Rattus norvegicus: one gene and its partners. The protein of the gene in region 1 interacts with the protein of each later gene in a pairwise test. Links are inferred from orthologs where the notes say so. Each region holds a gene or a part of one and is shown in the gene's direction. Other genes may lie near its edges. The genes, in order: U2af2, Scaf11, Khdc4, Prpf3, Snrpa, Tle5 and Thap1.

Region 1 (4,238 bases):
AAGTCATGATCTCCCTGTGCCTCAGTTTCCTTATCTGCTTTATGAGCTTCTGACAGATTTTCCAAAGCACTAGTGACAATTAAATGCAAGCGACAATAGTCTGTTTGCAGATTCAGATAGAAGTATCTCAAGGTTGGTTATGTTTTGGTTATGTTTTTCCTGAGGTGTTTTTTTAGTATTAGTAGTTGAGTTAAATATTTCAAAATTTACTTACTGCAACAGAAAAATACATAATATAAATGTAGAGTGTGTTTAAAATCTACTATGAAATTTCTCTTATTGCTTTTTCCTACTGCCAGTCTCAGAAGTCAGTACTTTTAGGATACACCTGTTAGAGTTTTTGAGTATGTATCTCATTTAACTCACTAGCCTCCAACCCTTCATTTTCTTGTGTCAGCCTGCCACATGTCTCATCACTCCTGGCTGTGTTCATCTGTATGGGTGGGTGGGGGGTTGATGGTTGAGAGATCAGTGGTACTTTGGAATTAAGGAAATACATTAAGGTGATCCTGGTTTAGCTTCTACCTTGAGGGGGTAGTCTGCAGAGTAGTAGTTATAGTGTTGTGTTTTTATTTAAGTTGGAGCCTATGTAGGTCCAGCTGGTCTGGAACTTGCTAGGTAGACCAGGCTGGTCTTAGGTCCATCTGCCTGCCTTTGCCTCTGAGGCTTTGTAGTTTTTCTTGCTAGGCTGTGCTCTGTTAGTAGCCATGACCTCTGAGGCAGAGATGCTAAGGAAGCAGAGTAGATAATGGTGAAGACACAGGTCCTTATTCTAGCCCACCCTGCTTTTGGCTTTGAGGGAGTAAGGCACGGAGGTGCTGGTAGATGAGGCTTCTCTGGACCATCAGTTGAAATATTAGGGAGGTGTCTTTTCCTTCCTTTCTGTGTGTTCAGAAAGAAGCCCCTCCCTTCAGAGCGTGCATGCTCTTGCATTATTCACCTGGTTGGGAAGGGATGGAGTTGAGTTTCCTCACTTCTTAAGGTTATTAGATCTGCCTGGCACCTGACCCTTGGGTCTGGTGGTGGGGCTGTGGGTACCAGCTGGTTGCAGAGGTTTTTCCTGAGGGGTTGCTGGGTCTCTTCAGGAAAACATCATTGGGTCTCTTGATTCCCCAGCCTCTAGCCCTGCCCCTCTCAGGGACGACCCTGGGGTCAGGCCCCTCAGCCCTCGAGGGGGACCAGGAGCCAGCTTCCTCTGTCTTCTCTGGCTCCTCAGCTCCTCTTGAGCATCTTCAGGTATCTTACACCCCGGGGGCATTTCCAGGCCCTGTCCCTTTGGTCCCTTCAGAGTCCTTGGGGACTCGGGTGTGGACCCAGGAGGCCTGTTGTCTCCTTTCATTAAATCCCTTCCCTTGGTGGGGTGGCCTCCCTGGGTCTTGGTATAGCCACCAGCACGCAGGGTGGGCTGGGCCTGCACTTTCTCTTCACTCATTCCATGTCTTCTCATGCTTGTCCAGAACGGGACAAGGAAAACCGGCACCGGAAGCGTAGTCATAGTCGCTCTCGAAGCCGGGACCGAAAGCGCAGGAGCCGGAGCCGAGATCGGCGTAACCGGGACCAGCGCAGTGCCTCCCGGGACAGGAGACGACGAAGGTACACTAGAGCCCTGGGACTTCTGGCTGGGTCCTCTGTCAGAGACTGGGTCTGCCTGATTGTTCTCCATGTGGGTGCCGCTTGGTCTGTCTTGAACTCAGTTTTCCCTGTTTATGGGATTTCTTTCAGTTTCTCTGGCAGTGGCAAAGGGTTGCTGGGGGCAGTAGTTCCTGGGGGCAGGGAATGAGTTTTTTTTTTTTTTTTTCTCTTCCCCTGTCTAAGGCTGTACCTGTCTTTTGAGGGCCCAATTATTTTTTTCTTATTCTCTCATTCTGTCTGGGGCTCTTTCGGAGAACCCTGTTTGTTTCTGCTTCCTCTGTTCTGGGAGGAGGGCTGTATCTGAAGCTTTCATTTCTAGCTCAGGGCTAGTTATTCCGAGGCATCTTTCCTTCCTGGGTTCCCCTCATTCTCTCTGTTCCTTTTAGGTAAGGAAGTGTGGGATATATGAAGAACATCCTTTCTTATCTCAGTTTCTCCATAGAGTGGCCTAGTCTTTTCCTGCTCCTTCTCATTACTTCCACATTCCTGGGAATGGTAGGGTTAGGGGGATTGGCAGGGCCGAGGGGGCCTGCATGCTACTTGTTCTCCTCGGTCCTGCCTTGATCCTGGGGTTCAGTGATCTTGGGTGTGGTGTGTTATGAGGGGAAGACAAAGGTCCCCAGTCACTCCTCCCCATACCTTTCCCTTTCCCTCCCACCCCTCAGCAAACCTTTGACCAGAGGCGCTAAAGAGGAGCACGGTGGATTGATGTGAGCTTCTCTTCCTGCCCCTTCTGCCCCATGTCCAATCCCTTCTCCTTCCTCACCTGTGCAATTTGCCTGCCTTGCATCCCCACCCTGGCCCGAGCACTGGGAAAGAGGCTCATCTGCCAGTGTCCCTCCTCAGGCCCAGGCCTAGCTCTCCCTCCTGGAGAGAGAGGAGCTTCTCTGTGGGAGGGTGGGGTGGACTGGGAAGGTGCTCCTTATGGGATTTGCAGACCCAGTGTTGGTCAGACTGAGGTTGCCCTGCCCCACTTTCCCCCTCCCCCCCTTCCCCAGTCGTTCCCCCCGCCATGAGAAGAAGAAGAAGGTTCGTAAATACTGGGACGTGCCACCGCCTGGCTTTGAGCACATCACCCCAATGCAGTACAAGGCCATGCAAGGTAGGCCTTTCCCTCCCGTAGGCTTTGTGGGGGTTACAATTGTGTGTGTGTGGAGGGAGGGTGTTAGGGGTTAAAGTTGTGTGTGTTAATGTGCTTGGTGAAACTAAAGGACTTCTGGTACCTGCCATGTGAAGTGCTGCTGGAGGAGGGAATGTCTTCCGTAGCAGGCCCCTTAGGAAGTCAGACTTCTTAGTAGTGGGTATTGGACTCCATTGCTGAGTTGACTTGGCTGATTGAAGAGCTTCCAGATGAAGTGGTCTGGAGGGTGGGTGGGTATGGTTAGTGTACACTGAGTGGTCCTGGTTTTAGGGTTGCTAATGGGATTTTACTCTTTATACCTTTCTTGAAGCTGCGGGTCAGATTCCAGCCACTGCCCTTCTCCCGACTATGACTCCTGATGGTCTGGCTGTGACCCCAACGCCAGTGCCTGTGGTTGGGAGCCAGATGACCAGACAGGCCAGACGTCTCTACGTGGGCAACATCCCTTTTGGCATCACTGAGGTACTGCCCTCCTCCTGCCCCGGCCCTCTCCCCTGTTTCCCTACCCTGTGCCTCCCCTCCCTCCATTCCCTTTCCCCAACCTGCACGCGTCAGACTCTGTTCCTGCAAGACCCCCCGGCCCCCTCCCAGACGGACGGATGGAGTTGAGCCAGCCAGGGGCCGGGCTGGGGGTGGCCCCTCCCTCCCTCCTCTTCCCCTCTCCCGTCTCCCTTTCCCCAACCTCCTCCAGCAACCCAGGGATCAAACACACACATAACGTACCCACTTACATATTGTACCTACGTGTTGGAGAGAGACAGAGAGGGAGACTCGACACACGTACAAACAGACGCACGTCCCTCCAGTTTTCTGACATGCTCTCCTTTTCTGCCGTCTATCCACATCCTTTTCCCCACATCCCTCCCATGGTCGCTGTTCTTTTATTTTTGGTAGCCCTGACCTCCCCCACCTTCCCCACCACTCCTCTCCCCCACCCCTTTCCCCCACCCCTTCCCGTGGCACCCCCTGAGAATCCCGAGATCAAAGAGTTGTTTCCATTTCTCTTTAAAGTGAAATATTGTGGGGCTGAGATCCCTCGTAGCAACAAAAAGTTTGCTACCATCGTCGAAGGCAAGTAAGGTCCATTCTGACTTTCTCAACCTGCACTTTGCTACATTTGATAAACCAGCCCCCGGACTCCAGGGCCAGATCCCTCCACATCACTCTTTTCTCCTCCCCTCCCGCCCTACCCCTTCTTCCCCTGCTCCTCCATCTCTCCCTGCCCCTGCACTCTACTTGTTCTGCCTCTCTGGGCGCCCTTCCTGTCCCTTTGCTTGTCTTTCTCTTCCTGCCTGTTGTTCTCCTACCTTGTCTGCACTGGGCATTTCTTCCTCGTGTCATCCTCATGTTTTTTGTTTTTTCCTCTTGCTGTCATATCCTGTCATCTTTTTCTTGAATAACTTCTTTCTAATTTTTTGGGCTCCATGGCTCATCCCTCATGCCTGTCCTTCTGTCTGGCCCATTT
Region 2 (4,238 bases), on another chromosome or scaffold:
GGATTTTCTGTGAACTTAAATCTCCATATTTTGTTGTTTCTTTTTTTTTTTTTTCTTTTTTTTTTTTCCGGAGCTGGGGACCGAACCCAGGGCCTTGTGCTTGCTAGGCAAGCGCTCTACCACTGAGCTAAATCCCCAACCCCTATTTTGTTGTTTCTTGAATATTCCAAGTTTTACACATAACCTCAGTTTACCAGATAATTCTATTCTAAGTTGATCTCTTTTCCATAGTCTCAGGTCTGTGTTACAGAATTTATCATTTAACTTGCTAATTAATAGTTATATAAAACTTCTTACGTTAGTTACATACTTTCCTTGTTTGTTAAAAATACCTGAGAAGCAATTGAAGGAAGGGGTTATTTTGCCTTAGAATTCAAGGGGATAAATAGGGTCGTAGTGGGGGAGAGGGTTGTGTGGCAGGAGTGGGAGACCAGCTGCTTACATTGATTCCACGCTCAGGAAGCAGGAGTCACGGCATCCTCTTATGTAGGTCAGAGTGTGCGGCTGCTCACATTTATTTAGGGTGATCCTCTAACTTTAACTTATGCTAGATAATCCTTGTCTACAGAGATTTGTTTCCAAGGCCATTCTCGGTCTTGTCAATTAGGCAGTTCTTTGTTTGGATGTGTAAGTACTCTGAGAGCACTGGGCTGTCGAGTAGCTGACATGGCTGAGTCACATAAAGACACCTGCAGCACACCTCGGAACCTGAGCTCAATGCCCAGAAGCCATCCCAAGGTGGAAGGAGAAACCAGCTCTCTACACAGTTGTCCTCTGCCAGCCTCACATGAACTCTGATGTGCACCCCTCCACACACACAATAATAATAGATAAATAGATAATTTTAATAAGAGTACTCAGTTGTCTAAAAACTGGTTGGTTGGCTCATTCATTCTTTATGTATAAAGTAGTTTCTTATGGTTCAAAACTTAAAATTCATAGGATTGGGAGGTGGCAAACAAACATTCTCTTGTTTTTCCCCTCTATTCCCCACCCACTCCTAAACTATTCTTTTATGGTTTGTCCCATAGGAAACGCCTTCACGAGGAGAGATGAAGAAGAAACCCGTATATAATCAGAGTGTGGGTGATCAGGAGAGTGAAGATGCGGAAGGTAACTGGCTATAAAGCCTGTATCGAAAGTCAGATAGCGTCACTAGGCTTTAAAATTAAGCTTCCTAAATTTTTCTGTCTTTTTTTATATTCTGAAACAAATAACAAGAATTAAGAATTATACACTTTGGGACTGGAGAGGTGACTCAGAGGTTAAGAGCACTGACTGCTCTTCCAGAGGTCCTGAGTTCAATTCCCAGCAACCACATGGTGGCTCACAACCATCTATAATCAAGTCTGGTGCCCTCTTCTGGCCTGCAGGCATACATGCAGGTAGAAAGCTGTATGATGTATACATAATAGATAAATGTTAAAAAAAAAAAGAATTATACACTTTGCCTTCTCATGTTTTCATTGAACATTTTTAGTTGAATTGTTGATTATTTTGTTTGTGTAGGTGTGTGTGTCTGTGTGTGTGTGTGTGTGTGTGTGTGTGTGTGTGTGTGTGGGCACATGTGCACCTGTACATGTGTGTATGTGGAGGTCAAAGGACAAGCTTGGGTGTTTAGGATGCTGTTCCTTAGGCACCATTCACCTTTTTTTGTTTTGAGACAAGGTTTCTGACTGGCCTGGGAATTCCCAAGCTAGCTGACCGGCCAGCAGACCCCAGCAATTGGCCTGTCTCCGTCTTCTCTGCACTGGGACTGCATGCATGCATACTTGGCTAATGTTTAAACATGTTTTCTGGGGATTGGCAAGCACGTTATTTCATGAACACTCTTCCTTTTTAAGATTATAACAGCATTAATATTCCCCCTGTAAAGTTAATTTTTTTATTTATTTGCTTATTTTATGTATATAGGTATTTTACCTGCATTGTATGTCTGTGTACTATGTGCATATCTAATATTAGTTTGTATTTGTTAAGACTAATCTGAAATCCTAAATGCCCAATTCAGGTATTGTTTATAGAATTTGTATTTCCTTCATTCCAAACTCATACTGGAAACATGTGAACTCTATTTGAATGTTTTGGCTTAATACTGATCCTTTAGATTAATATGTCCCTCTATTTGGGAAGGCTCCAGGTTGTATTGAATTATACAGCTCCCATTGCTTGCTTACATGTTGTTGTGTAAGTTGATTACTGTTAGGAATTTAAATTGGTACAGACACAGATTTGGCATATCTATTCCTGTGTTAGAAATATACATTGATCCCATACTGCTCCTGTATTTGGTTTTTTTTTTTTTTTTTTGGTTCTTTTTTTCGGAGCTGGGGACCGAACCCAGGGCCTTGCGCTTCCTAGGTAAGCGCTCTACCACTGAGCTAAATCCCCAGCCCCGTATTTGGTTTTTTGAAACAAGGTTTCTCTGTAGCCTTGGTTGTCCTGGAACTTGGCTCTGTAGACCAGGCTGGCCTTGCCTGCCTCTGCCGTCCAAGTGCTGGAGTTAAAGGCATGCACATTTAATTATTAACCTGGCTAGTGATTCTGTTTTTAAAGAAGTGATCTGTAGATACACTTTTTGAAATTTGAAATGATTGTGTTGTGATATAAGCTCATTGGTAGAGTACTTACCTGCCTAACATGTGGAGTTCTGGGTTCTCTCCTCAGCATTCATCGTCATAGCCAATGGCCGAAAACACATGAATGTCTATTAATAAGTTATTTTAAGAAGCAGATTAATATGTATAGTACTCCAGTGTTTGTGTGAGGAAGAAAAGACATGGAAGAATGTATATTTGGGTTTATCCTGGCTTATTGACTCACCCCTGTACTCCTAGTACCTAGGAGGCTGGGACAGAAATATCCCGAGTTTGAAGCCAACCTACATATTGAGAAACATTTGTTTTTTTTAAATGTTTCTTTGAGTTAATGTTTCTCTTTATCATTGGCTGTCCTGGAATATACTCTGTAGAACAGGTTGGTCTTGAACTGAGACAGCTCCCTGTCTCTGCCTCCCAAACGCTGGTATTAAAGGAGTGCACCATCACCACCTGGCTGAGAAGCCCATTTCAACTGAGGGGAAGGCAAGGAAGGAATTGCTTTTCTATGCATTAAAAAATATTATGTAATAAAAGAAACTGTAGGTTATTATTGGATTTAGTAGAAGTAGATAGGTATGTGACTAGGTTTGTCACTATAGAATTTTTACTAAAAAATTTTGAACCAGGTAAATAATATTTAAAATTAATTATGGTCCATGTATGTTCCCCTTCCTCACTGAAATATACAAGAAAGTTGATTGAGAGTGGTAGGGCATTTGTGTAGTATATACAAGGTTGCCCTATTTTATACACACATATACACACACACATAGTCACACAACAACACAGACACACAAATCACCCACAAACCATCCAGACACAGACACACAGAGTACACAAAAAGTAAATGCTGGTGCTGTTGAGCTTAAAGAGTATGTTTGTCATTTGACATCCAAGATATGGTTGCAAAGAAGCAAGGCTGGCCCTTTGAGGATGTAGGCAGCCATAATGCTTATAAGCATAAATCAATGGTTTGGGGGCCTTTGAAAACATGACTGTCTTTTTCTTTGCAGGTGAAGAAAACAGAAATAATGCTGATACTTCTGGCTTACTGTACAGTGAGGTGGACAGATGTCCAATCTGTCTTAGTTGCCTATTAGGGAAGGAAGTTGGTTTTCCAGAAAGTTGTAATCATGTCTTCTGTATGGCCTGTATTCTTAAATGGGCAGAGGTAAGTCTGAGAAGAGCACTAACCATAGTAATTACTGCATTTGCTCTCCTGTCATGATTTTATTTCACTTACTGCTACTGCCTGCCGTAAGTTACTTCATACTACGTTCTTTCCCTTTTGCTTTAGTCAAGTTTCTGTTTGTTTAAATCCTGTCTGCATGTTTTCTCCCAGTTGTCTTTTTACTCAGTCTTTTCACTCTTTTATAATTAATTTTACTTTAGACTTAGAAGAAACCTTATAGAAAGAGCAGGTCAAACAGCCTTCTGACCCTTATAGGACATGACCTGCTTGCACTAATAACATCCCTGTATGCTTTCTATGTTATGTATTTCAGAGAATTTCCACACAGGTTATTTGATTTCTTTCTGGAATAGTCAAAGTACAAGCCACAGTGTTTTTTCACTTTAAAGTTTAGGGATCTTTAGTGTAAACTGATTTCAGAATCTGAGTTAGAGATTTTACTTAAG
Region 3 (3,218 bases), on another chromosome or scaffold:
GTAATTTAAAATGCTGGATTTCTCTGAAAAGAAATGTCATGCTTTTGACAGGCAGTTGATGCCTCCACCAGCCTTTCCAGTGACTGGAATAAAAACTGAGTCTGATGAAAGGAATGGGTCTGGGGCCTTAACCGGAAGCCATGGTGAGTACAGTGGAGCTGGGGTTGGGAGGACAAGTAGGGTGGTTGTTAGTCTTCTAACCTGGTGGTCGGTCCAGAAGATTGAAACCAATCTCCGTCATCTACTGACTGATAACAATACTTTTTTTAATTTATAAGGACAGTTTATGCCTTTCTATTTTTAGTCCTTCTGTGTTGGGAATAGAGTTGTCTGCTTTATATTTTATGCATACCACTCGTATTAAATTCGTAGGAAATACTAATGATTGGGAAGTAATTTCAGAATCCTATTGTTCATTTTGTCTAATTGGCGGTCATCTGATGTAGATTTGGGGAAAGTTAATTTCCCTATGTGTTGGGAGCTGAGCTCAACACCCAGCAGCATCCCGGAACTCTGCATCCTGTGCATGGGATCATTGTATTCCTTGCCTCTAGTTGATAAAAGTGAACAGAAGAAAAAATAGTTTTTCTTTTCTTCTTTTCTTTTAGCTCTTTAAGAGGTGAAATGTTAGTCTTCAGAGACTCACTTGCTAACTTTCCTTTTTTCTTTTCTTTTTTTTTTCTTTTTTCTTTCTCTGTTTTCTTACATGGTTCTGGTGGATTGTCATTTGCTGGTGCTGGCTGTTTTTCGTGTGATCATCAACGTTATGGGGTGACCATTGACCCTGTGGCTACAAAATGGTGTCCAACTAACCACTTACAATTAACATCTTTTTTTTAATTAACGAATTTATGGTATTTTTTTTCTTGGTGGGGATTGGGGTTGGGCTTGTTCTCTCTTCTAGATTATCCAGCCAAGAAGATGAAAACAGCAGAGAAGGGATTTGGCTTAGTAGCTTACGCTGCAGACTCCTCTGATGAAGAGGAAGAACATGGAGGTCATAAAAATGCAAGTAGCTTTCCACAGGGCTGGAGTTTGGGCTATCAGTACCCTTCGTCACAGCCACGAGCTAAGCAGCAGATGCCGTTCTGGATGGCCCCATAGGAAATAGTGGACAGAGCTCTGACACTCGGTGACTCTTCTTAGCAATAATGCATGCACTTGATTAAACAAGACTCTGGAACCTGTTCTGGGGGCCATCTTGGACCTTCGAAGACATTAGGGATGCAGTGTCCCCTGTCATAAAGGGATGCCATTCTTTTTAAAACCCTGTTTCTGCAGTGGCATAACATCTGTTAAAATTCACTTAGAATCACAAATTTGCATCAAGCTTTTTAAAAGTTGACGAAATGTGCTTGTCCAGTGAAATATCAGGACAGAGTCATTGCTACATATGTTTGACCTGGTCTAGCCTTTTCCAAATGAATAGCCTCAACTCTGTTGTAAAGAAAGTTTTATTTGTATTTTACTACTATTGGGTCAATTTTGATAACTGGTTATAAACAAAGCCTTACTATTTATTAGTGGGAAATGGTTTAAAGACCCTTCCTTCCATGCTTACATGTAATTCTAAGAGCTCCTCATCCCTCTTTCCATTTGGATTCTTTGTTTGGAAAATGCTGTTTTACTAATTTAGAATGGTCAACTACAACTGGATCCTCAATAGGAAAATGGAGTTATTTTTGCATTGTTTCAATACCGGGATGATCCAAAGCTGGCACCTTTAGGCACACTTGTTTCAGATAGCCATTGCTGTTGGCACTGCCCTTCCAACCTCCCTGTTTTCACGTTTCAAAGAAAACGTGATGGAAAGCTGGTCAGAGCTCATCACACAAATGAAATACTCATTTGTCTCAGAACTGGTCGCAGCGAGAAGAGAGATGTGATGCTACCAATAGGACGGTGACTCTGACTGGAATTGCAACTTGTCCTTTTTTTCTTGGCATTGTGACTTTTGCCAAAAGAACTTTTTTGTATCAAATATTGATGTGTGGAAGTGAAGGAATCGGTGGCTGAGCCAGGAGTGTCTGAGATACTGACTGTCATTTTTGCACATTTTTGAATACTTTGCAGGTTGGCTTTGTACAAACTCTGGTTTCCTGTATGTTGTAAATAATTAGACCATAATTTCATTATAAATAAATGTATAAAGATTCTGCTTGTCATTTTTCTTTTTCTTCCCTGGCCCATTCATAACACTAATATCAATAAACTCTTTTTAATTATTTATTCCTTTTTAAATGTGCATTGTTAGTTTGTTGCATGTATGTCTGGGTGAGGGTATCAGATCCCTTGAAGCTGGAGTTTTATACATAGTTGTAAATTGCCGTGTGACATGGGAATTGAACCTGGATCCTCTGAAATAGTGTTCTTAACCTTTGAGTCATCTCTCCAGCCCCTTATTAATAACCTTCTGTATTCGGAGCATAATGCAGTTTTCCTACCCAATAAAAACTTAAAATGCTTCAACATTTGCATATGCCCCTTGAGTGCTGCAAAGTATATCCTTAAAGTCAAAAAGATTTATGATTATTAAGTTATTTTTTTTTCTATTTTCTTACTTTCCCCCTTTAATGGTTTGCTTTATTTGTTTTTGAGATAGGGTCTCACTGTATGCTCTTCTGACCTCCAAGGCCAGATACATATAAAATTATAAATACATCTACATAAAAATAAATCTTAAAACAAGATTAATTAATGGGATACATTTTGTTCCATGATGTGTGTAGCTGTCAGAGGACATCCCTTCAGGAATGAATTCTTTCACTTTGCTTCCAGTGAACAAACTAAGCTCTTCAGGGTTGCCTGACAAGTACCTCTAATATCTGAGCTGCCTGGTTGGTATTCTGTATAAAAAGGCTAGCCTCATTCTCCTAGAGATCTGCCTGCCTTTGTGTCCAGAGTGCTGGGATTAAAGAAACCCACCAGGATTGGCCTTCCCCCTGGTATTTAACATTGAGTATCATTGTGTAGCTCAGTGTAGTTACAGCCACTGCCCAAAAGACATTCGAATGTTTTGTTCTCATGTTTTTGGCAATTGAACCCAGAACCTGTCTATGCTAGATAAAATTCCACCACTAAGATATATCCTAGACACGTCCCCCTTTGGAGTTTTGGAGACAGGGTTTCATGTAGCTTCTGCCTTCAGAGCGTGGTATTCTAGGCCAGCACTGTGCCACTGTGTCTGGTTACTTTTCACTTGCTCTTTATAAATTATT
Region 4 (4,981 bases), on another chromosome or scaffold:
CATCGCCCCCTTGTGGTGTAACATTGATTTCTAGCCTTCACTTTTTTCATTTTGATTAGGAACTTAGCCCAGGCTGGCCTCAAATTTGCACTCTATCTGCCTTATCCTCTCCGGTTGAAGTTATAGGCTTGTCCTTTTTCTAATGGCGAATGCCTTTGAACCCTCTTGTGATTTTACTCACCGTTCCTCCTTTGAGGAAGCATTCAAGTCCCTTATTGCCTGAGTTGACAAGGTCTTTCCTTAGGTACCTGACATGTAGGTGTTACCTCCCACTCTGCAGATGCAACCACTGAGATGATTACTGTCATCTGCCACCACGCCCAGCCAAATGGCAGAAGTTTTCCATGTCCAGTTGACTTTGTTGCTCTTGTTTTTGGTGTAACATCTAAGAATTCATTGCCAAATCCAATGCCATGAAGACAAACCCTGTTTTCTTCTAAGAGTTTTTGTTTGCTTTGTTGTTGTTTCAAGATGGTTTCTCAGGGTTGCCCTGGTTTTCCTGGAACTCACTCTGTAGACCAGGCTGGCCCCAGATTCAGAGATCTGCCTGCCTTTCTCTAAATGCTGGAATTAAGGACTATACACCACCACTATGCCAAAAACTGACTTTTACAGATTACATGTATTTATGTACCTTGTGTGTGTGCGCACACACCACAGTCACCTGAGGGAGTCAGAGGACATCTTTCAGGAATCGGTTCTCTCCTTCTACCTTGTGGGTCCTGAGCATTGAACTCAGGCTGCAAGAATTGGTGGCAAGCACCTTTACCCACTGAGCCATCTTACCAACCCCAACAGAAACTAGAACTAGAAGAAATATGCGGTAGACTCATTAGAAAGTGAAGTTGTTTCCTAGTAAGATGGAAATTAGAATTTTCCAATAGCATGAAGGTTTTTAAAAAAAAGATTTATATATATATATGTATATATATATATATATATATATATACATATATATATATAGTCGCTATCTTCAGACATACCAGAAGAAGGCATCAAATCCCATTACAGATGGTTGTGAGCCACCATGTGGTTGCTGGGAATTGAACTCAGGACCTCTGGAAGAATAGTCAGTGCTCTTAACCACTGAGCCATCTCTCCAGCTCTATCATGAAGGTTTTACTTTTTTTTTTTTAATTTTATGTGAATACACTCTCGCTGTCTTCAGACACACGAGAAGAGGGCATTGGATCCCATTACAGATGGTTGTGAGCCACCATGTGGTTGCTGGGAATTGAACTCAGGACCTCTGGAAGAGCAGTCAATGCTCTTAACCGCTGAGCCATCTCTCCAGCTCAATTTTTTTTTTTTTTCTTTTTTTCCGGGGCTGGGGACCGAACCCAGGACCTTGCGCTTCCTAGGCAAGCGCTCTACCACTGAGCCAAATCCCCAACCCCTAATATTTTTTTTGTTTGTTTTTACTATAAAGGACACTTTGAGTACGAATGTGGATGTCCTTGCTTTTAGTTCTAGCAATAAGGTTAGCGCACTAACTCTTGACCCAAGGGAATGTGCTGCCAAACGACTTCTGCTCCCGGCAATCAGGACTGGACTAACGTTGGCTTTGCTCCGCGGCAAGTCAGCGAGCGGACTTAAGCTTTAGGATCCCGCCGCGCGTGCGCCCGGCCGCCGGCACCTTGATACCGCGGCTGCGCGGCTCAGGTCCCGCCTTCTCAAGTCACGTGTTATAGGGACCGCAGCGTGGCGGTGGCTCTGGCGGTAGCGACGGCGGGCCATAGGGCAACCGGAAGGTTTCCGGTTCCGGTGTAACGTTCGGGCTCCGTCTCAGGGGCTGAAGTTTGTGAGGTGAGTAGTGGCCCTGCGCCCGAGAGGATAGCCTTCGGTCCGAGCGGCTGGACAGGGCGGGAGTGTTCGGCGGGAAGCAGGCTGAGAGGAACCCCGGGTTCTGTTGGGGGACGGAATCAGAATGGGCTTGCTGAAGGAAAAGGGCGGGGGCGGGAAGGAGCAGGGTGGGCAGACCTGCTCTGAGGTGAGGAGTTAGGTCGGACTCGGTTGAAGCGGGGGCCAGTTGGAAAGATAGTAAAGAGGGAGCATGGGGGACTCAGGGGCTTGTAGCTTAGAAAAGTAAGGAATTCCTTCAGAAGATGAGAGTCTGCTTTCTGCTCATTCAGAAGACAGCCTTCTGCCTTCCTCCCGTTCCCCTCTACCCCCCAGGCCCACACCGACACTGACGCCTCCTCGCTATTATAGTTATTTGGTTGGTGACAACTGTAGTGATTGGAACTTTCTTATCCATTGACTGCTTCGTTTGCACATTCGGGTCGAATTTGAAGACATCTATTTGTCAGTATATTGCCTGGGCTCACATCCAGTCTTCTAGTGTTTCACCTATTACTTTGGATTTTGAAAATTGCTTAAACTTTCCAGTCTATTACTCAATTGTAGTGGGTCGTAAGTTTCATTAACACGAGGATTCTTGGCTGTTTTGTTCACTGCTGTATGTGTCTTTACATGCAGTAAGTATTCTGCTTAACAAGTAATAGGAACTTAAGTATTTACTGAATGGAGTGTTATGTCAGATGTTCCCACTTTCTAAGATGAGTATCCTGAGGCTCTGGTGATTAACTTGCTTACCTAAGGGCTTATAAATGGTAGTGCTTACTATATCCTCTCTTCAGTGGGCTTTCTTCTCCACCTTTAGTGCCTGTGTTTGCTTTCTTTTTGATAGGCAGTATACTGCTATCTCATGATGGCCCAAAAAGCAATCCCAGGATTATTCATAAGACTTGTCACTGAGGAACAGCCTTTCAGCTTCATTCAGGTGTATTAAATACTGTGCATTGATAGATCTTCTGAGAGATAAGTCTGTCAATTGTAGGAGCTAATTAGACTGCATCTTTTTGTTTTATGACAAGGTCTCATATAGCCAAGAGTTGACATTGAACTCCGTAGACAAGGCTGGACTTGAACTCCTGATTCCCCTTGTGCTGGGATCACAGACTTGTATGGTCATTTGAGGTGGCATCTTTTAGATGTCTTTAAACACCTTGAAAGAGTCATTTCCCAGATCGCACTACGATACAGGGCAGTGCTAAGAGGAGGTCAGCTGGGAAGTTAAGGTCAATTGACTGACATACAGCCATTGGGAAGAAAATCAGAAATTAAGTTAACTTTATGCTGGTGAAGATGTTTGAGATTTAAGAGTACCCAAATGTAAGCATGAATAGTGTTGAAATTTTACACCAATTTGCATTAAGTAATAAAGAATCATTTTGGCATATAGAATGCTTACAACCATGAATAAATCTACAGAGAAATGACAGCATTCTTAAAGATTATGAGATTTAACAGGAGGACTGACTTGAATAAAACCTCTTATTTGTATCCATTAAAGATGTTTTAGGTCAAAGCCGGGTTAGAGAATGCCTTCCAGAGTAGACGTAATAGTAAGGTTGACTTCTAGATTGACTCTTCAGATGTTCTGTTTGCCTATCCTTTATATGACAGAGTCAGAAGTTAGAACCCATTCCTCAGATTAGGTTATTCCTAGTTTGTTTATTCTTCAGATAGTGTTGATGACTGATGCTGAGTTAGAATCAAAATATCAAATGAGTGGGGCATGGTGGTATGCTCCCGGAATTCCTCACTAGGTAAGTGGAGGAGAATTGCCAAGTGTTGAGTTCTGCATGAGCTACATTGTAAGACCCTATCTCAAAACTCAGAAAAGCTGGGGCTGGGGATTTAGCTCAGTGGTAGAGCGCTTACCTAGGAAGCGCAAGGCCCTGGGTTCGGTCCCCAGCTCTGAAAAAAAAAGAACCAAAAAAAAAAAAAAAAAAACTCAGAAAAGCTAATGGAACCCTTTCCTCCTGTTTTGAAGCTTGGTTTTAGGGAAAGTATTCTCCATATCAAATGGAGAGACATGCCTAGGGGTTGAAAATAGGAGTGGGGAAAGCACCCTTATTATACTGTTATCTTGATTGCTTTGTTTTCCTTTTCTCTGACTCTTGCTTGGTTTCTTTTAGGTGTAGTACTTTGTCCGATTTGAGCTCTTAGTCTCTGTTTCCTCCAAAATGGCACTGTCTAAGCGGGAACTGGATGAGCTGAAACCATGGATAGAGAAGACAGTGAAGAGAGTGCTGGGTTTCTCAGAGCCCACGGTGGTCACAGCGGCATTGAACTGTGTGGGGAAGGGCATGGACAAAAAGAAGGCGGCTGGTGTGTACCTCTCTGACTCTTCTGACTTAACAAGTATATTGATTCCAAACACTAATTTGAAACTGCCCCAGGTTGTTCCTATTGGAGCATCAAAGGAAAGGTGGGGCTAGCCCCTTCTCCTTTTGTTGTTGTTTTCTTGTTTTGTTTTTTTGAGACAAGGTTTCCTCTGTAGCGATGTCTGGCCTGAAACTCAGATATCCACCTGCCTCTGCTTCCTGAGTGCTGGGATTAAAAGCACACACCACTCCCTCCTCCCCCTTTTTTATTAAAAGACAGGGTCTCATGGATCCCGGCCTGGCTTCCAGCTCACTAGCCGAGGATGCCCTGAGACTTAGGAGTCTACTTCCTCTACATCAGCAGCTCTCCACCTGTGGGCTGTGACTCCACAGGGTTGAATATCAGATGTCATGTATATCAGGTTTTTACATTAGGATTCATATCGGTAGCAAAATTACAATTATGAAATAACATCAAAATAATTTTATGGTTGGGGTCACCATGACATGAGGAACTATTAAAGGGTGGAGTCATCAGGAAGGTTGAGAACTGCTGTCCTGCGTCCTGAATTCTGGGATCACAGGCCTGCACCACACCTGATTTATGCAGTATTGAAGATTGAGGAAACTGGCACCTAGGCAAGCACTCTACCAGCTGAGCCATTCCTCGCTCCTTATTTTCTCTTCTGTTATAATGGGAAGAGCTTAGATAACCAACCTTTCTCTCTTTTTATTATTCGTGGTGCATTGTGAATTACAATCTTTGATCATCGTACCAAGTCACCCAAGTCAAATTTGCTTAGGAAATA
Region 5 (3,800 bases), about 14 Mb from region 1:
ACATAGGGCGCCGTGAGCTGCTGTGTAGGTGCTGGGAACCATGCTCTCTTGACCACTGAGTCATCTTCAGCCTCCCTCCAATGTCTTTACATACTTCTGGACAAAGTTGGGCCTTAGTAATTATGCCTCTTTTTTCCCCCCTTCAAAAAGCTCTCTGTGGTCTAGCATTCATCCTTGAACTTCAGCTTTTCCTTCTTGGCGGCTCAATTAGGTTTGCTTTTCATCTTTTCAAGTGTGGGTCTTTCTCTTTCTGTCTTATCTCAGTGGCTCCGTTGTGCTGTGGGCACTGTGACCTTGCCTTCCATTATCCCTGTGACATCACTGCTAATTCTTTTCTCCACAGGGCATGCCACCGATGACTCAGGCACCCCGCATCATGCACCACATGCCAGGACAGCCTCCCTACATGCCACCACCTGGCATGATCCCGCCACCAGGCCTTGCTCCTGGCCAGATCCCTCCTGGGGCAATGCCCCCACAGCAGCTCATGCCTGGGCAGATGCCACCTGCCCAACCTGTAAGTGTCCCTACCCCACCACAAGGTCTCCTAAGCATAATCTTCCAGGAGAAGTAGAGCGGTTACATGGGCTTCTAGGTCAGTCAGGTGGCGCTGCAGCTGAGCTCTTGTGTGGTGACCCGACCTGGGACAGAGGGAAGTTGGTTTGTGAATTGGTCTGGGAGAGCATGGTGCAGCTAAGCCACTGTCTGCATCCAAGTTAGTGCATGTACTCGGGTCCAGGTCTCTGCTGCCTTGGGCCTTTGGTCTCTGGGCAGAGAAAGGTGAGAATGTGTGCGTTGGAGGAACATGTGGTGAAAGAGGGTGGTGAGCAGAGTGCAGTGCTCGGCATCCCTCTTGGTACCCATGACCATGGGCTCCCCTCTTTCCCACAGCTCTCGGAGAATCCACCCAATCACATCCTGTTCCTCACCAACCTGCCTGAGGAGACCAACGAGCTCATGCTCTCCATGCTCTTCAACCAGTAAGTGGGGCTTCCTGCTGGGTGGGCAGGTCTAGGTGTTTGGTGCCCAATGCCTGAAGGTGTGAAGTGGGATAGGAAGGAGGTGCATAAGGACACGCAGTGCTGTGGGCATCTGTGCGCAGGTCTTTCGGGTCCCGGGCTGCCTTTGCTGAGTCAGTGTCCTTACAGGTACAGAGCAAGGGAAAAGTGAAAGCAGTAACATGTTGAGGCAACCTGTTGAAAAAATGGCGTGGGCACTCGGGACAGGAGGACCTCGTGCCCGGCCAGTGTGATGGAACCTGTAGGCCTTGAGTAGAGGGACTGCGGAGTGGAGAAGGGCTGTTTGCCTAGTCTTCGGGTTTCTAAGAACACCTCTTCCAGAAATGTCTGGTCAGGCTGGGGGTGTTAGTGGTGGTGGTGTATACACATAATCTCAGTACGTGGTTCAAACAGGAGGCTTGAGTTGAGGATCATTTTCTGCTGTGTAGCCTAGGCTATGTGAGGCCCTTGGTAGGAGCGTTACTTGATCTATGTATGAGGCTGTCAGCCTTGTCTGGTATGGAGGAATAGTCAGCTCTGAGATGGGGAAAGTTTGTTTGCGACCTTACTCTCCTCCCCCTCTTTTTTTTTTTTTTTCTTTAAGACTTTCTTAGTTTTACTTTATGCATTTGTCTGTTTGTGGCTATGTGCCAGAATTGTGGGATATCCTTGAGCTCGAATTTTAGGCAGTTTTGAGCTGTCTGACATTGGTGCTGAGAACTGAGCTTGGGTTCTGCAAGATCAGTTCTTGATCTTAACTGCTGAGCCCTACCTCCAGCCCCTCCCTTCTTGTTTGTGATGGAAACAGATGGTTTATTAGGTAAACATGGGCACAGTCTTCATATGGCCAGGAGCTGGTGATCCTCCTGCCTCCACCTCTAATGGAAGTCTGACCTTCCATACCTGGTATGGATGATTCTGTAGAATTATGCTGAAGGAAGTTTGAGAGACCAAATAAAGCTGGAAGCAGGACAGTTGATACGCCATCTCCACAAAACACTGCGTGTTTGTGAGACTGCTTGCCCCGGAAAAGATGTCCATTTCCCTGGAGCAAGTGAGGGAGTTCAACAGTCATGATGGCACCTTGTAATCCTGGTGCTCAGCCTGAGGAGCTAAGGTCCAGCCTGAGTTACTTAAATAGGGACCCTGTCTCAACAAAGCAAAAACCAGAGACTGAGAGTAGGGATTGGTGACAGTTTGTGGGACTGGGGGTGGACTTTGGGGGAACAAGGGGTTCTAGCACTTTGTTTGGTCCACATTGTGATTGTTATTTATGTGATTTCATTTAATGTTGTTTACGGTAGAGGATCTGCATGTATTTTGTCCACGTAATCCTTTGGGTTTGTGTTGTGCATTATGGGAAGCTTAGCTTCTCTGGCCTCTGTCACTGGTGCCAAAATATTAGGGGAAAGCTGAGGTGGGTCTCTGAGGTCTGTTATTCCCTTCTCCCAGGTTCCCTGGCTTCAAGGAGGTGCGTCTGGTCCCTGGGCGCCATGACATTGCCTTCGTGGAGTTTGACAATGAAGTGCAGGCTGGGGCAGCACGAGATGCCCTGCAAGGCTTCAAGATCACACAGAACAATGCAATGAAGATCTCTTTTGCCAAGAAGTAGCACCTTTCCCTACGGAGTGCCCCAGTCCCCATTCTGGGGCTGCCCCTTCCCCCTCTCTTGGCTCAGTCCCTGAAGGTAAGTCCCCCTTGGGGGCCTTCTCAGAGCCGTGAGTGAGTGTGTGTCTGCCACACAGCATTGTACCCAGGGTCTTCCCAGACATTGCACCTGGCGCTGTTGGGTTGTGATTAAAGTGAGTTTTTAGGTTTGGTTTTTCACCAGTCTTGTCCGCTTTATTTTCTTGCCTAACTTGTTTCCTTCCACATCAAGAGTTTGGATCTCGTGGCTTCTGTGGGTTCACAATCTAAGAAAACACTCGGGAGTGGAGCAGTATTAAATGCGTCTGAGGTCTCAAATCACGGAATGCAGGAAGAAGAGCACCGTGTATAATTGGGCGGGTTTCGTGCTGCAGGTTGCTGCTGCTTGCTTCTGCTGCTTTTGTACTCTGCAATAAAGAGGAGAGGCAGTGAAGACTGTCTCCAAGGCGTTGGGTGAGGAGGACAAAGCTGCTTACATCACCAAGGGACTCTCTTGTTATTGTAGCCAGGGGAGAGGCAACCTCCCTCTCCACATTGGCCTGGTGGCTGTGTCACATGCATGCTGTGGCCAGCCCCTCTGGTTTGCAGTCACCCAGTGGTCAGTTAGTATCCCCAATGTGAGCTTTATTATCTTAACTGTGTGAAAAGGAATCCTCTATTAATGCCACAATCATAGTATTCCCACTGTCCCCGCAGACAGCATCAGGCACTTAGCTGACACTCGTAGTAGATTCAGTATATACTGAATAAAACTTAGAAGTGAAAATCAACATTGCTAGCTTGGCCTTTGGTCATACCCAGACGGCTGAGAGCGGGGGTGCTGCCTGGAGTTCCCTGACAGCCTGAGCTGCTGTGGTGGGTACTGGAGAGTGAGGAGCAGTTAGGGCAATGAAGGTAAAGTCCTGATAAGGTGTCCTAGGGTGGAGCGCTTAGGCTCTCCTGGCGAAGGGGAGTTCAGTCTCATCTTTACCCAGGATTCTACCTCTTTTTTTTTTTTTTTTCGGAGCTGAGGACCAAACCCAGGGCCTTGCGGTTGCTAGGCAAGCGCTCTACCACTGAGCCAAATCCCCAACCCCTTTTACCCAGGATTCTAAGACTAACCCGTGACTTGGCCAGCTCAGAGGCCAGGGTCCCCTAAGTCACCTACTCTGACCT
Region 6 (4,738 bases), on another chromosome or scaffold:
TATACCCCAAAGTGGGACAGGACAATAGTCATAGGGAAGGCTGGTCTGACGCAGGAGGGTCAAGAGTTCAGGGTTATCCTGTGCTACAGAGTTCCAGGCTAGCCTGATCTCCACGAGACCGTGTTTCTATAAATAAAACAAGACAATGTCACAGGCCAATCGTGGCACCTTCACCAAAAGCCCTACCAGCCGGGTATGGGTCAGCACCAGGAGCAGCCTCTTGGACTCCTGCCTCCAGGGTACCAAAGTCTGAGTCCGGGTCCTGTCTCTTGAGGCCTGGAGATGGCTTCCTCTTTCCTTCATTGGCCCTCTGTGGCTGGGGGAGGACCCCGACCACCCCACTGGGGCTTGGCATGGCCGTGGCCTAGCCAAGCCTGGCTGGCCACTGTGTCTGGGCCATTTGAGTCTGACACTGTATGGAATTGTGGAGACAGTGTCTCGCTCTGCAGTTTAAGTTGGCCTGAAATATAGGGGTTAATCATATTGGCCCAGGGAACTCTTCTTCTTTCATATATTTTATGTTTTATTTTTTATTATTTTTGAGACAGGGCTCAGCCTTGAACTTACAGAGGTCTGCCTGCCTCTGCCTCCCAAGGGCTGAGATTAAAGGCATGTGCTACCACAGCAGCATATTTATTTATTATATATAATATATGTCATATACATTTACATATACTTATATGTGTATTTAATTTTTTGGACAGGTCTCACTCAGTAAACTGGGCCACAGGTTAATGCTGAAGTCCAACAATCCTCCTGCCTCAGTTTCCCAAGTGCTGGGCAGAAGCTAGGACCTAGGGAACTCTTTATTTATGAGACAGGCTCTCTGTGTAGCCCTGGTTGTCCCAGAACTTTCTATGTAGACCAGGCTGGTCTCAAATCAGAGATTTGCCTGCCTCTGCCTCCAGTGCTGGGATTAAAGGCATGGGCCACCACCACCTGCTGTGCCCCTCTTTAACTTCTTGATGTTTTGAGATAAGGACTCTTGTAGCCCAGGCTGTATTCACTGTGTACATCAGGCTGGCTTCCACCTACCTCAACCTACCCAGTACCGGTAATAACTCTTGTAGCTCAACACAAACCACGTCTTACTTTTTGTTGTTTTGAGACAGGCTCTCTGGTAACACAGGCTGGCCTGGGACTCTTGATCCTCCTGCCTCCGCACCCCAGTCAGTGGGTTACAGACCTGGACCCCCATCCTACCTCTGAGGGACAGGTGTCACTCTGCTACCCAGTGTGCCCCCCAGTCATGCCAACCCTCCGACTCCAAAGAGGATGTAGCACGCTGTAGGCACTCCATAAATCCACCCTGAAGCCTGGGCGCCCAGGCTGTGAGTCCGTGGCCTGGGGGCTGGGGGTTTGGGGGACCATTGAGGCAGGCCTCGGGCCGGGGCTCCGGACCGTGGCGGGGGCGGGGCGCGCGGGGCCAAGGTCACGGGTGGGGCGTCCGGGCCTGCGCAGTGCCGGGCGCGGCAGGTGGAGCGGGAGCCCGGGCGGCACCGCGTCGCCATTACACAATAGCGCGGGCGGCGCGGGCGGGCGGCGGGCGGCGCAGGAGGCGGGACGCGGGGCCCCGGAGCTGTCGATCGGGGACAAAGCGCGGCCGCCCGGCGCCCCCCGAGCCGCCCGAGCCGGGGCGCAGCCCGCGCCCCCCGCGACTGACATGATGTTTCCGCAAAGCCGGCACTCGGTAAGGGGGACCCCGCGCACTGCACCCCAGAGCTCTTCCTGCACCCTCAGCTCAGCTCACTGCACCTCCAGCGCTCACCCTGCACCCCTTCTAGGTCGGATCCCTTCTGTCTCCCCGCCCAGGGCCTGTCCCAGAGGCTCCCTGTGCTCCCCCACCTCCTACAGGCCTGTGCCCCAGCCCTTGCACCCTACAACCCAGGCCCTACGCACCCCACCAGCCCAGCACTGCATCCTTAGCCCGGATCCCTGAACTTTGATCCCTGCCCTGAGTCCCCTCACCGCCTCCCCTCGCCGGCCCCCCCATCCCGACTCCAAGGTCTTCTCCCCACCCCCAACCCCTACTCCCGGGCTCCGGATCAGCCTGTCTTCAATCTTGGGCCCGCACCCCACTACAGCCGCATTCCGCCTGTCTCCCGGCCCTGGGGCTCAGACCCAGAGCTGCAGCACCCTAGGCACAAGTCCTTCATCCCCTTCACCCCAGGCGCGCATGTCCTCCAGCCCAAGACCTTGCATCCCCACCCTGTGCTCTGCACCCCACCAGGCCCAGCTCCTTAAGAGCTCCAGACTGGCCTGACACCAAGTCCAAGGCCCTGCACCCACCACCACCTCGGCCCTGCACTTCCTTCCACCTTAGATCTGCCCTGTCCCCAAGTCTGGTGCCCTCTACCCCCCAATCCAGTCCCCACACCCCCTGTCTCTCCCTCCAGCCCTGTCGGGCCTGGCGTCACCATCCGGGCCCAGCGCCACCTCCAGCCTGGCTCTGCGTCCCTCCTCTAGCTGCAGGCCCCGCACCCCAGCTGCCTTCCTCCTCCAGGCCCCATCCGGCACCCTCAGCACTAGGGTTGGGGGGACCCTGTGCCCGTATAAGGCCCAGTGCTCCCTTGTCCGGAGCCAGATATCCCCCATTCCCCTGCACCTCCTCCCCAGCACTAGGCTCTGTCCCCCTCACATCCATCCAAGCCCGGGCCCATCTGTCGCCTCCCACACCAGATCCCAGTGGCCATGCTCCCCACACCCTACCCCTAGCCTTGCTACCCAGAGAATCTTACAGCCCAACTCCTGACCCAGTGCCCTCAGATGCGGGCCCTGTAAACGCCCCCCCAAGCCCCTCCCCCATCAGCTCTCTCCCTAACTCCCAGGCCATGACTTCCCTGTGGCTTTGGCTGGGACCTGGGAGGAACCCCACAGGGCACTCCTTGTGGCAGGGCAGCTTTTGGGGGGGTCCACCCCTGAAGAGCACACCCCTGAGGAAACAGGTGTGATGGGGTACCCCCAGGAAATATAGGGTGGTAAGCTAGGTGCCTTTTCCATGCTGGCTTTGGAGGGAGGCCTGTTATCACCTTGCTTGACTTAGAGGGGCTTTCTGGGGAGTTCCTCCGGGGGGCAGCCACATGGGTGCTGCCCCTCACAAATGACCAGTGTGTAAAAGCATCACCACTGCCTAGAAGCCTCACAGTCCCTTCCTGGCTGCCAGGGCCTGTAAGCAACCCAGGAAGTGGGGCGTGGGTGGGGCAGGGCGCTGCTCACCCTCCTGCACTCCGCAGGGCTCCTCCCACCTCCCCCAGCAGCTCAAGTTCACCACCTCCGACTCCTGCGACCGCATCAAGGATGAGTTCCAGCTGCTACAAGCGCAGTACCACAGGTGAGCAGGGCCTGGGGACCCCACCTCTGTAGACTTGTCTGTGGCATCAAAGAAGGCGGGGTGGGGGGTGCCTCAGCCATCTCAGGGCCCAGGAGGTGGACCAAGAGTGTCAGCAGTTCAAGGTCATCCTCAACTACTTAGCCAGCCTGGGCTACATGAGACCATGTGTACAAAAACAAAACAAGCAGCCCCTAGTGTGGAGGAGGAAACCGAGGCACACAGCATTCGCGGTTTCAGAGGCCCAGTCCCCATGCATCCCTCTGTTTAGCACAGCCTGGACTGGGTGCCCAGAGAGGGTGAATAGTCCGCCCAGGTTCACACAGCCCCACCTTCTCCTTCTGTCCAGTTTTGGAGTGGGGAAGCTTGCAGGTGTCCCACAGACCCTCCAGCCTGGTCACTCCCACCACAAATACTTTTCTCATTTCTGACGGGTTCCTCATGTGTGAAACTGATCACCCCAAAGCCCAGAGGTGTTAGCAGTTTCCAGGAGTGCACAGCACAGAAGCAAGAAAGCTGCAAGCAGCCTGAAGCTGGGGAGTTGGGGTCCCAGCCACGGGTCTCCGTTTGACCCTAGGCTGGACCTGTTTTATAGGATCCAGTGGTGAGTGGGCATGGGGGTGCAGGCCCAACCTTCCAGCTCTCACACAGTCAGGCGAATGTTGTTCTGGGCTAGCCTGAGGTACAGAACAAACCTCTGTCTCAGAAAATGAACTAATAATAATGATGATAGTAATGATAAAATCTTTAAAAGACCCTTAGATTTCTCCAAGAAAAAGGTAAACCTCAGTGTTTGTGGAGTTTTCTATTTTAAAAAATTATTTTATTTAAGTTTTTGGTATTTATTTTGAGACAGGGTCTTATGTGGCCCAGGCTTTCCCTATATAGCCAAGGATGACCTTGAGCTGCTGACAGGACAGGACAGGCAAGGCCCAGGGGGTGCTAGGCCAGCCATCTACCCGCTGGGCGGCTCCCCCAGCATTTGCCATTTTAAAGAGGAATTTAGGGCACCATTTTGAAGAGGGATTTAGGCACCAGTGCAGGCTATGCCCGCATGGCTCTGGGACCACTCTTAGGGTGACTTCTGCCAGGACCTGCAGGGCAGACAGAGGCTGTGTGTCATCCCATAGGCAGATGCCATCTCTGAGCTGCATTGTGCTGCCCTCTGTGCACTGGGCCTGGGTTCGGGACTGGGGAGCGGACCTCGTGCACTCACGGTCGAGCCGCAATAGCCTTATTTATTGTGTTTGTGTGTGTGTGTGTGTGTGTGTGTGTGTGTGTGTGTGTGTGTGTGCGCGAGAGAGAGAGAGTATGAGAGAGAGAGGGAGGGAGAGGGGCCACAGTGTGACTCAGGGTCCACCACTCAGTCTTGCATCCCTGAGCGAGTGCGGCCTTCACTTGGAGAGCATA
Region 7 (4,793 bases), on another chromosome or scaffold:
AGGCAACTGGGTTCAGTAAGATGCTGCCAGCCTCCAGAGCACCCTAGTTCAGATTCGACACAGATATAATTACATAAGCACGTAACTGCAGAGAGAAGTCCAGAAAGGTAAAGCCTTACTTGGGGAAGGTAAGGGAAGCAGACATAACACATAAGATTCATCTTAAGGATACATGGGGAGGTCAGGGGATGGGCATCCCAGGCCAAGCAAAACTCTGTATTTGAGCAGTTAAAGGAGTTGAAGGACAAGCAGGGCAGGATGGTAAAAACACAGAGTACCTGCTGCCTATGCAGCCACCATAAGCAATTTGGATTTTACTCACTCCAGAGGTAGACTCTGAAGTCTAAGTTTTATAAGCAAGGAACTGGCAGTGTTTTTACGAGGGACAGAGAGAAGGCTGGAGACTAGGACTGACAAAAAGTTGAGTAGGAGACTGAGTACTTGAATTCAAGATTGCTGGTGAGAGAATAACCAAGAGGTACTAGTTTTACTCTATGAGATTAACCTAAGTCTTGAGGAAGGGGGAGAAATCCTAGGAGCAGCTGATAAAAACACTGGGAACCAAGACTAATGGGAGTTGGGTCCCTGGAAGCCCACAGGGTGGAAGGAAGAGAATCCACTCCCACAGGCCGTCCTCTGACCTACATGTGTGCTTGGTGCCCATTTGCCTAAAGTTATAGATGGTGTGAACTGCCTTGTGGGTGCTGGGAACCGAATCTGGGTCCTCTGCAAGAGCAACAAATGCTCTTTACCACTGAGTTAAGTCCTGGTTTTGTTTGTTTGATTGATCTCATTGATACCAGGGTTCCAGATTTAAGTAGCCGGCAAATGCATTAAACCACATACATGGTGACTCAGAAGGCAAGTCCATGTGTGCTGAAGTTAGAGGGGCTAGTAAAGGATGGTATGCGGGCTCAAGAGTCAAAGGTCTACAATGATGTCGGGCACACGCGCCCCAGACTCAAAACTACAGAAGGTCAAGCATGTAACACTTCTCTCTAGCATGAAAAATAGCTGCAACAGCTCGCAATTTCCAGCACAGACAGAACGCAAAGGTAACAACGTTCCAAGCTGGAGAAACGGCTCAGCGGTTAAGAGCACTGACTGCTCTTCCAGAGGTCCTGAGTTCAATTCCTAGCAACCGCATGTGGCTCACAGCCATCTGCAGTGGGATCCGCTGCCCTCTTCTGGTGAGTCGGAAGACAGCGACAGTGTACTCACAAATATAAAATAAATTTTAAAAAATAAGTGCTTTTGATTCTCAGCTTAGAAGAAATGAAATGCACGTCTGTACTCGCTCTTTAAGTAGACGGCCATCTGGATTCTGAACGTGGAACACAGATTTGTATAAATCACACCTCCGCAGCCGCCCTTTTTAAAAATTACATGTGACCAGGGACGAGCTTTCCCACCTTCCCTTTACGCTTCTGGGTCCAACAGGCGGTTTAAATTGAATTAAGTTTACCACACTCACCAATACAAGACCCTACAAGAGACTAAAGCAAGGCTCCCAAACAAACGCGCTTTCTTCCGGCCAAGGCGCAGAGGACCCACCCACTTCCGCACTGCTGACCACGCCCCCCAGGCACGCCTCGCCCTAACCAATGGTCAGCTTCCCTGGGAACGTTACCTTCGGCTAATCAGAGCCTGCGAGCGAACTCCTCGCGAGAGGTGAGGTTGAAGCTGCCTCCGCCATCTTGAAGATGGGAGACGAGCGACAGCTGTTGTCTTTCTGCTAAAGCAAACACCACAACGGACCGGGTGGTCACCCCCCACGGTGAGGTAATCGTCCCCATAACTGCTAACCAAAGCCACCGAAAGCGGCGACCGTATCAAAGCCGAGCGCGGCGGCACCGACGGCCCCTTCACCTGCCTCCCGGGCAGAGGGGAAGTGTGGAGGGCCAGAAGGATGGTGCAGTCCTGTTCCGCCTACGGCTGCAAGAACCGGTACGATAAGGACAAGCCCGTCTCCTTCCACAAGTAGGTAACTGGCGTGCTCCGCGGCCGCGGCAGGGGCGCGCGGGCGGGTGGAGGCGGAGCCCGGCGCGTGGCCGCGCGAGACCTGGAGGAGGCGGGGCGGCCGGCGGGCTCGGGCGGCAGACGGGGCTGGCCGGCGGGGGCGGGGACCCATGGCTGCGCGTTCCCGGCGCGCGCCGCCTCCGTTGGCTGGGCTCTGCTGAGGCTGCGGCCGCGCCTTTGCGCTCGTGGAGGGTTTCTGGCGAGCAAGCGATGGACGCCTGGAAGCCTCTCGCTGCCCTCCGGATTTCGTCCCAAGCCAAGCCGTGGAAATGTCCCATAGGGATAAACTGGAACTAGAAAAGCATGGGAGGGAGACCTGGCTTCTGACCTCGCTGCTGCTGTTAGGAGGGAAGCAGGATAGCTGAGTGTTGACATCTGACCAGGACTTTTAGACCTGGTTTCAAAGAACCAAGCTTTAAGGATCTGTGGGTTTTAGAGGTGACTCTTGGTATTGCCAAGATGAGCCCCAGTCTTTCAACACACGGTAGTAATGAAACGATAGCATTCACTTTACTCAGATGCCCTGGGAAAGGTTGATGGAACTAATGTTAGCTTTCCCCCACAGCTGTCAGGCCTTGTTCTTGTGTGTGCAGCAAGCAAGAATCCAGGATGAAAAATACTCTCTTGAAAGAAGAAGGCAATAGAATTAACGTTACTGATGGTGATTATTAGCAATGCTAACGGTCCACAAAATGTGACATACTTTTAGGCAGCTAAATTCGTTATTACAAGTTTTATGTTAGGTTTTGGAAGAATTCCTGACTGTATGCAGAGAATAGCTAAGAAATCAGACCCACTGGAAAATTATCCAAACTGTCTATAGGGAAAACAATTACAGAAACAAATTTCAAAATGTTCCCTCAGGGATTTGGGGAGCTAGTGTTTTTGTTTAAAAGTGTTTGTTAGAAAGTAAGAGTTGTATGCTGGTGTTTTCTCTGTGGGAAGAGGATAGAATATGTCCAATTACTACGACTTGATTGATTGAAATTTCATACGCCTTCAGAATGTCAGAACAGATCAGGAAATGGTGACAGGGATATGCATCCGACTTGCCACTTCCCTTTCCTATGCTTTATTAAGATGGCCCAGGAGTCTTCAAATATGCAGACTAGTTAAAAATGGCACACATCGGGGTTGGGGATTTAACTCAGTGGTAGAGCGCTTGCCTAGCAAGCGCAAGGCCCTGGGTTCGGTCCCCAGCTCTGAAAAAAAGAAAAAAGAAAAAAAAAATGGCACACATCAAACTACTGTTTCAACTGCTGGATGTTGAAACATAAAAACAAGAATGAGTCTTATTCCTTATGTAAGAACAGTAAATGGCAAAGATCTTGACAGTTCAGAGTTTGTGCTCTATGCCAGGAGATGAGATACTAAGATTTATAAGAAGCTACCACAGTGGTTGTACTTCTTTTCAGGAATATCTTTTTTCCAGCCTGTGTGCAGTAGCAGTGGAGAAAGCTGGCTGTGTAAAGAATAAACACTAGCAGGAAGATTGGTTAGGTCTTCATAAAGAAAATGATGATCAGGGTCCCACATACCTTATGTAGTGGAATAGTAAAAATAAGTGGAAACATTCCTTTTCAGCCATTTCTGATTCCTCTAGCATCTCCCACCAAGTTTTTGTTATAGAAAAGCATAGTGGCAATAGATACAAGGATTCCCCATTCCATACACTGAATTAAGCCATAAAATAACGTCCTTACCATCTTTGTCACTTGCCCAATTCAGGATGTAGTCTCTTTGTTGGAGTGATTAAAAAGAGCTAGACGTCTATTTCAGGATGTAGACATATGTCCAAGTTTTGTTCTATAAGACACAAAATTTTTAGTAAAAATATGCGTAGAATTTGCACATATGATCAATTTTTTTTCTTTTCTTTTCTTTTTTTTTTTTTTTTTTTTTTTGGAGCTGGGGACCGAACCCAGGGCCTTGCGCTTGCTAGGCAAGTACTCTACCACTGAGCTAAATCCCCAACCCCACATACGATCTATTTTAACTGAACTGTTAAGTGTCTTCAGTATAAAAAGGTGAAGCTCACTGAGTGAGAATAGTAACCGGAACTGATCTCCAATCAGATTCTCCTTAGTATGTTAAGATTTTCCTTAGTATGAGAATGGGGGAAGGGTATTATTTATTTTTTAAAGTAAAGTCAGAGAACTGAATTGTATCTTCTTAGGTTTCCTCTTACTCGTCCCAGTCTTTGTAAACAGTGGGAGGCAGCTGTTAGAAGGAAAAACTTCAAGCCCACTAAGTACAGCAGTATCTGTTCGGAGCACTTTACTCCAGACTGCTTTAAGAGAGAGTGCAACAACAAGCTACTGAAGGAGAACGCTGTGCCCACTATTTTTCTCTATATAGAGCCACATGAGAAGGTAATTTGGGTTCTTAAATGCTGGATTTGTTTTTTTCCTTTCCCGGTCTTTTCTTTGTTTTCTTTCCTCCTCTGCATTCTCTTCCCCTCCCATTCCTTGTGTGAGACAAAGTCTTAAGTAGTCCAGGCTGGCTTTGAGCTTGCGTATAGCTAAGGCTGAATTGGAACTCCTGATCCTCCTGCCTCTACCTTCCAAATTCTATCATAAGCACTGGATTTGAGTGAATGCTGTTTTAATTTATGAAGCTAGTGTGTTCATGGGAAAATCAGGGAAGGGTTAAAACCAGTGTGTTTGAAACCCATCATTTGGCAGTAACTACTGTTGGGGCTCAGTGGTTAAGAGTATGTATTGCTCTTCCAGAGGATGTAGATTTGACCCCTAACACCCACTTGAAGCTGCTCA

Evidence for each region.
Region 2: the proteins of U2af2 (region 1) and Scaf11 interact in binary tests that used the Homo sapiens proteins (3 or more experiments, as listed by UniProt). The link is inferred for Rattus norvegicus from reciprocal best matches to the Homo sapiens genes U2AF2 and SCAF11.
Region 3: the proteins of U2af2 (region 1) and Khdc4 interact in binary tests that used the Homo sapiens proteins (3 or more experiments, as listed by UniProt). The two-hybrid records come from large-scale screens. The link is inferred for Rattus norvegicus from reciprocal best matches to the Homo sapiens genes U2AF2 and KHDC4.
Region 4: the proteins of U2af2 (region 1) and Prpf3 interact in binary tests that used the Homo sapiens proteins (3 or more experiments, as listed by UniProt). The link is inferred for Rattus norvegicus from reciprocal best matches to the Homo sapiens genes U2AF2 and PRPF3.
Region 5: the proteins of U2af2 (region 1) and Snrpa interact in binary tests that used the Homo sapiens proteins (3 or more experiments, as listed by UniProt). The link is inferred for Rattus norvegicus from reciprocal best matches to the Homo sapiens genes U2AF2 and SNRPA.
Region 6: the proteins of U2af2 (region 1) and Tle5 interact in binary tests that used the Homo sapiens proteins (3 or more experiments, as listed by UniProt). The two-hybrid records come from large-scale screens. The link is inferred for Rattus norvegicus from reciprocal best matches to the Homo sapiens genes U2AF2 and TLE5.
Region 7: the proteins of U2af2 (region 1) and Thap1 interact in binary tests that used the Homo sapiens proteins (3 or more experiments, as listed by UniProt). The two-hybrid records come from large-scale screens. The link is inferred for Rattus norvegicus from reciprocal best matches to the Homo sapiens genes U2AF2 and THAP1.

The regions. Positions count from the first base shown.
Region 1 is NC_086019.1:77,800,272-77,804,509, reverse strand, and holds part of U2af2 (U2 small nuclear RNA auxiliary factor 2), read left to right. Parts: intron 1-1,116; exon of another isoform or gene 1,117-1,236; intron 1,237-1,457; coding exon 1,458-1,593; intron 1,594-2,297; coding exon 2,298-2,342; intron 2,343-2,630; coding exon 2,631-2,734; intron 2,735-3,083; coding exon 3,084-3,235; intron 3,236-3,784; exon of another isoform or gene 3,785-3,844; intron 3,845-4,238. UniProt on the Homo sapiens protein: Plays a role in pre-mRNA splicing and 3'-end processing. By recruiting PRPF19 and the PRP19C/Prp19 complex/NTC/Nineteen complex to the RNA polymerase II C-terminal domain (CTD), and thereby pre-mRNA, may couple transcription to splicing.
Region 2 is NC_086025.1:129,482,581-129,486,818, reverse strand, and holds part of Scaf11 (protein SCAF11), read left to right. Parts: intron 1-1,031; 5' UTR 1,032-1,052; coding exon 1,053-1,113; intron 1,114-3,613; coding exon 3,614-3,771; intron 3,772-4,238. UniProt on the Homo sapiens protein: Plays a role in pre-mRNA alternative splicing by regulating spliceosome assembly.
Region 3 is NC_086020.1:176,473,165-176,476,382, forward strand, and holds the end of Khdc4 (KH homology domain-containing protein 4), read left to right. Parts: intron 1-51; coding exon 52-143; intron 144-904; coding exon 905-1,104; 3' UTR 1,105-2,241; downstream 2,242-3,218.
Region 4 is NC_086020.1:186,089,143-186,094,123, reverse strand, and holds the start of Prpf3 (U4/U6 small nuclear ribonucleoprotein Prp3), read left to right. Parts: upstream 1-1,696; 5' UTR 1,697-1,806; intron 1,807-3,983; 5' UTR 3,984-4,031; coding exon 4,032-4,176; intron 4,177-4,981. UniProt on the Homo sapiens protein: Plays a role in pre-mRNA splicing as component of the U4/U6-U5 tri-snRNP complex that is involved in spliceosome assembly, and as component of the precatalytic spliceosome (spliceosome B complex).
Region 5 is NC_086019.1:91,608,444-91,612,243, reverse strand, and holds the end of Snrpa (U1 small nuclear ribonucleoprotein A), read left to right. Parts: intron 1-343; coding exon 344-517; intron 518-891; coding exon 892-980; intron 981-2,450; coding exon 2,451-2,610; 3' UTR 2,611-2,825; downstream 2,826-3,800. UniProt on the Homo sapiens protein: Component of the spliceosomal U1 snRNP, which is essential for recognition of the pre-mRNA 5' splice-site and the subsequent assembly of the spliceosome. U1 snRNP is the first snRNP to interact with pre-mRNA.
Region 6 is NC_086025.1:8,797,757-8,802,494, reverse strand, and holds the start of Tle5 (TLE family member 5), read left to right. Parts: upstream 1-1,572; 5' UTR 1,573-1,663; coding exon 1,664-1,690; intron 1,691-2,828; coding exon of another isoform or gene 2,829-2,945; intron 2,946-3,233; coding exon 3,234-3,331; intron 3,332-3,854; coding exon of another isoform or gene 3,855-3,936; exon of another isoform or gene 3,937-4,738. UniProt on the Homo sapiens protein: Transcriptional corepressor. Acts as a dominant repressor towards other family members. Inhibits NF-kappa-B-regulated gene expression. May be required for the initiation and maintenance of the differentiated state.
Region 7 is NC_086034.1:72,609,574-72,614,366, reverse strand, and holds the start of Thap1 (THAP domain-containing protein 1), read left to right. Parts: upstream 1-1,676; 5' UTR 1,677-1,909; coding exon 1,910-1,980; exon of another isoform or gene 1,981-2,033; intron 2,034-4,195; coding exon 4,196-4,391; intron 4,392-4,793. UniProt on the Homo sapiens protein: DNA-binding transcription regulator that regulates endothelial cell proliferation and G1/S cell-cycle progression.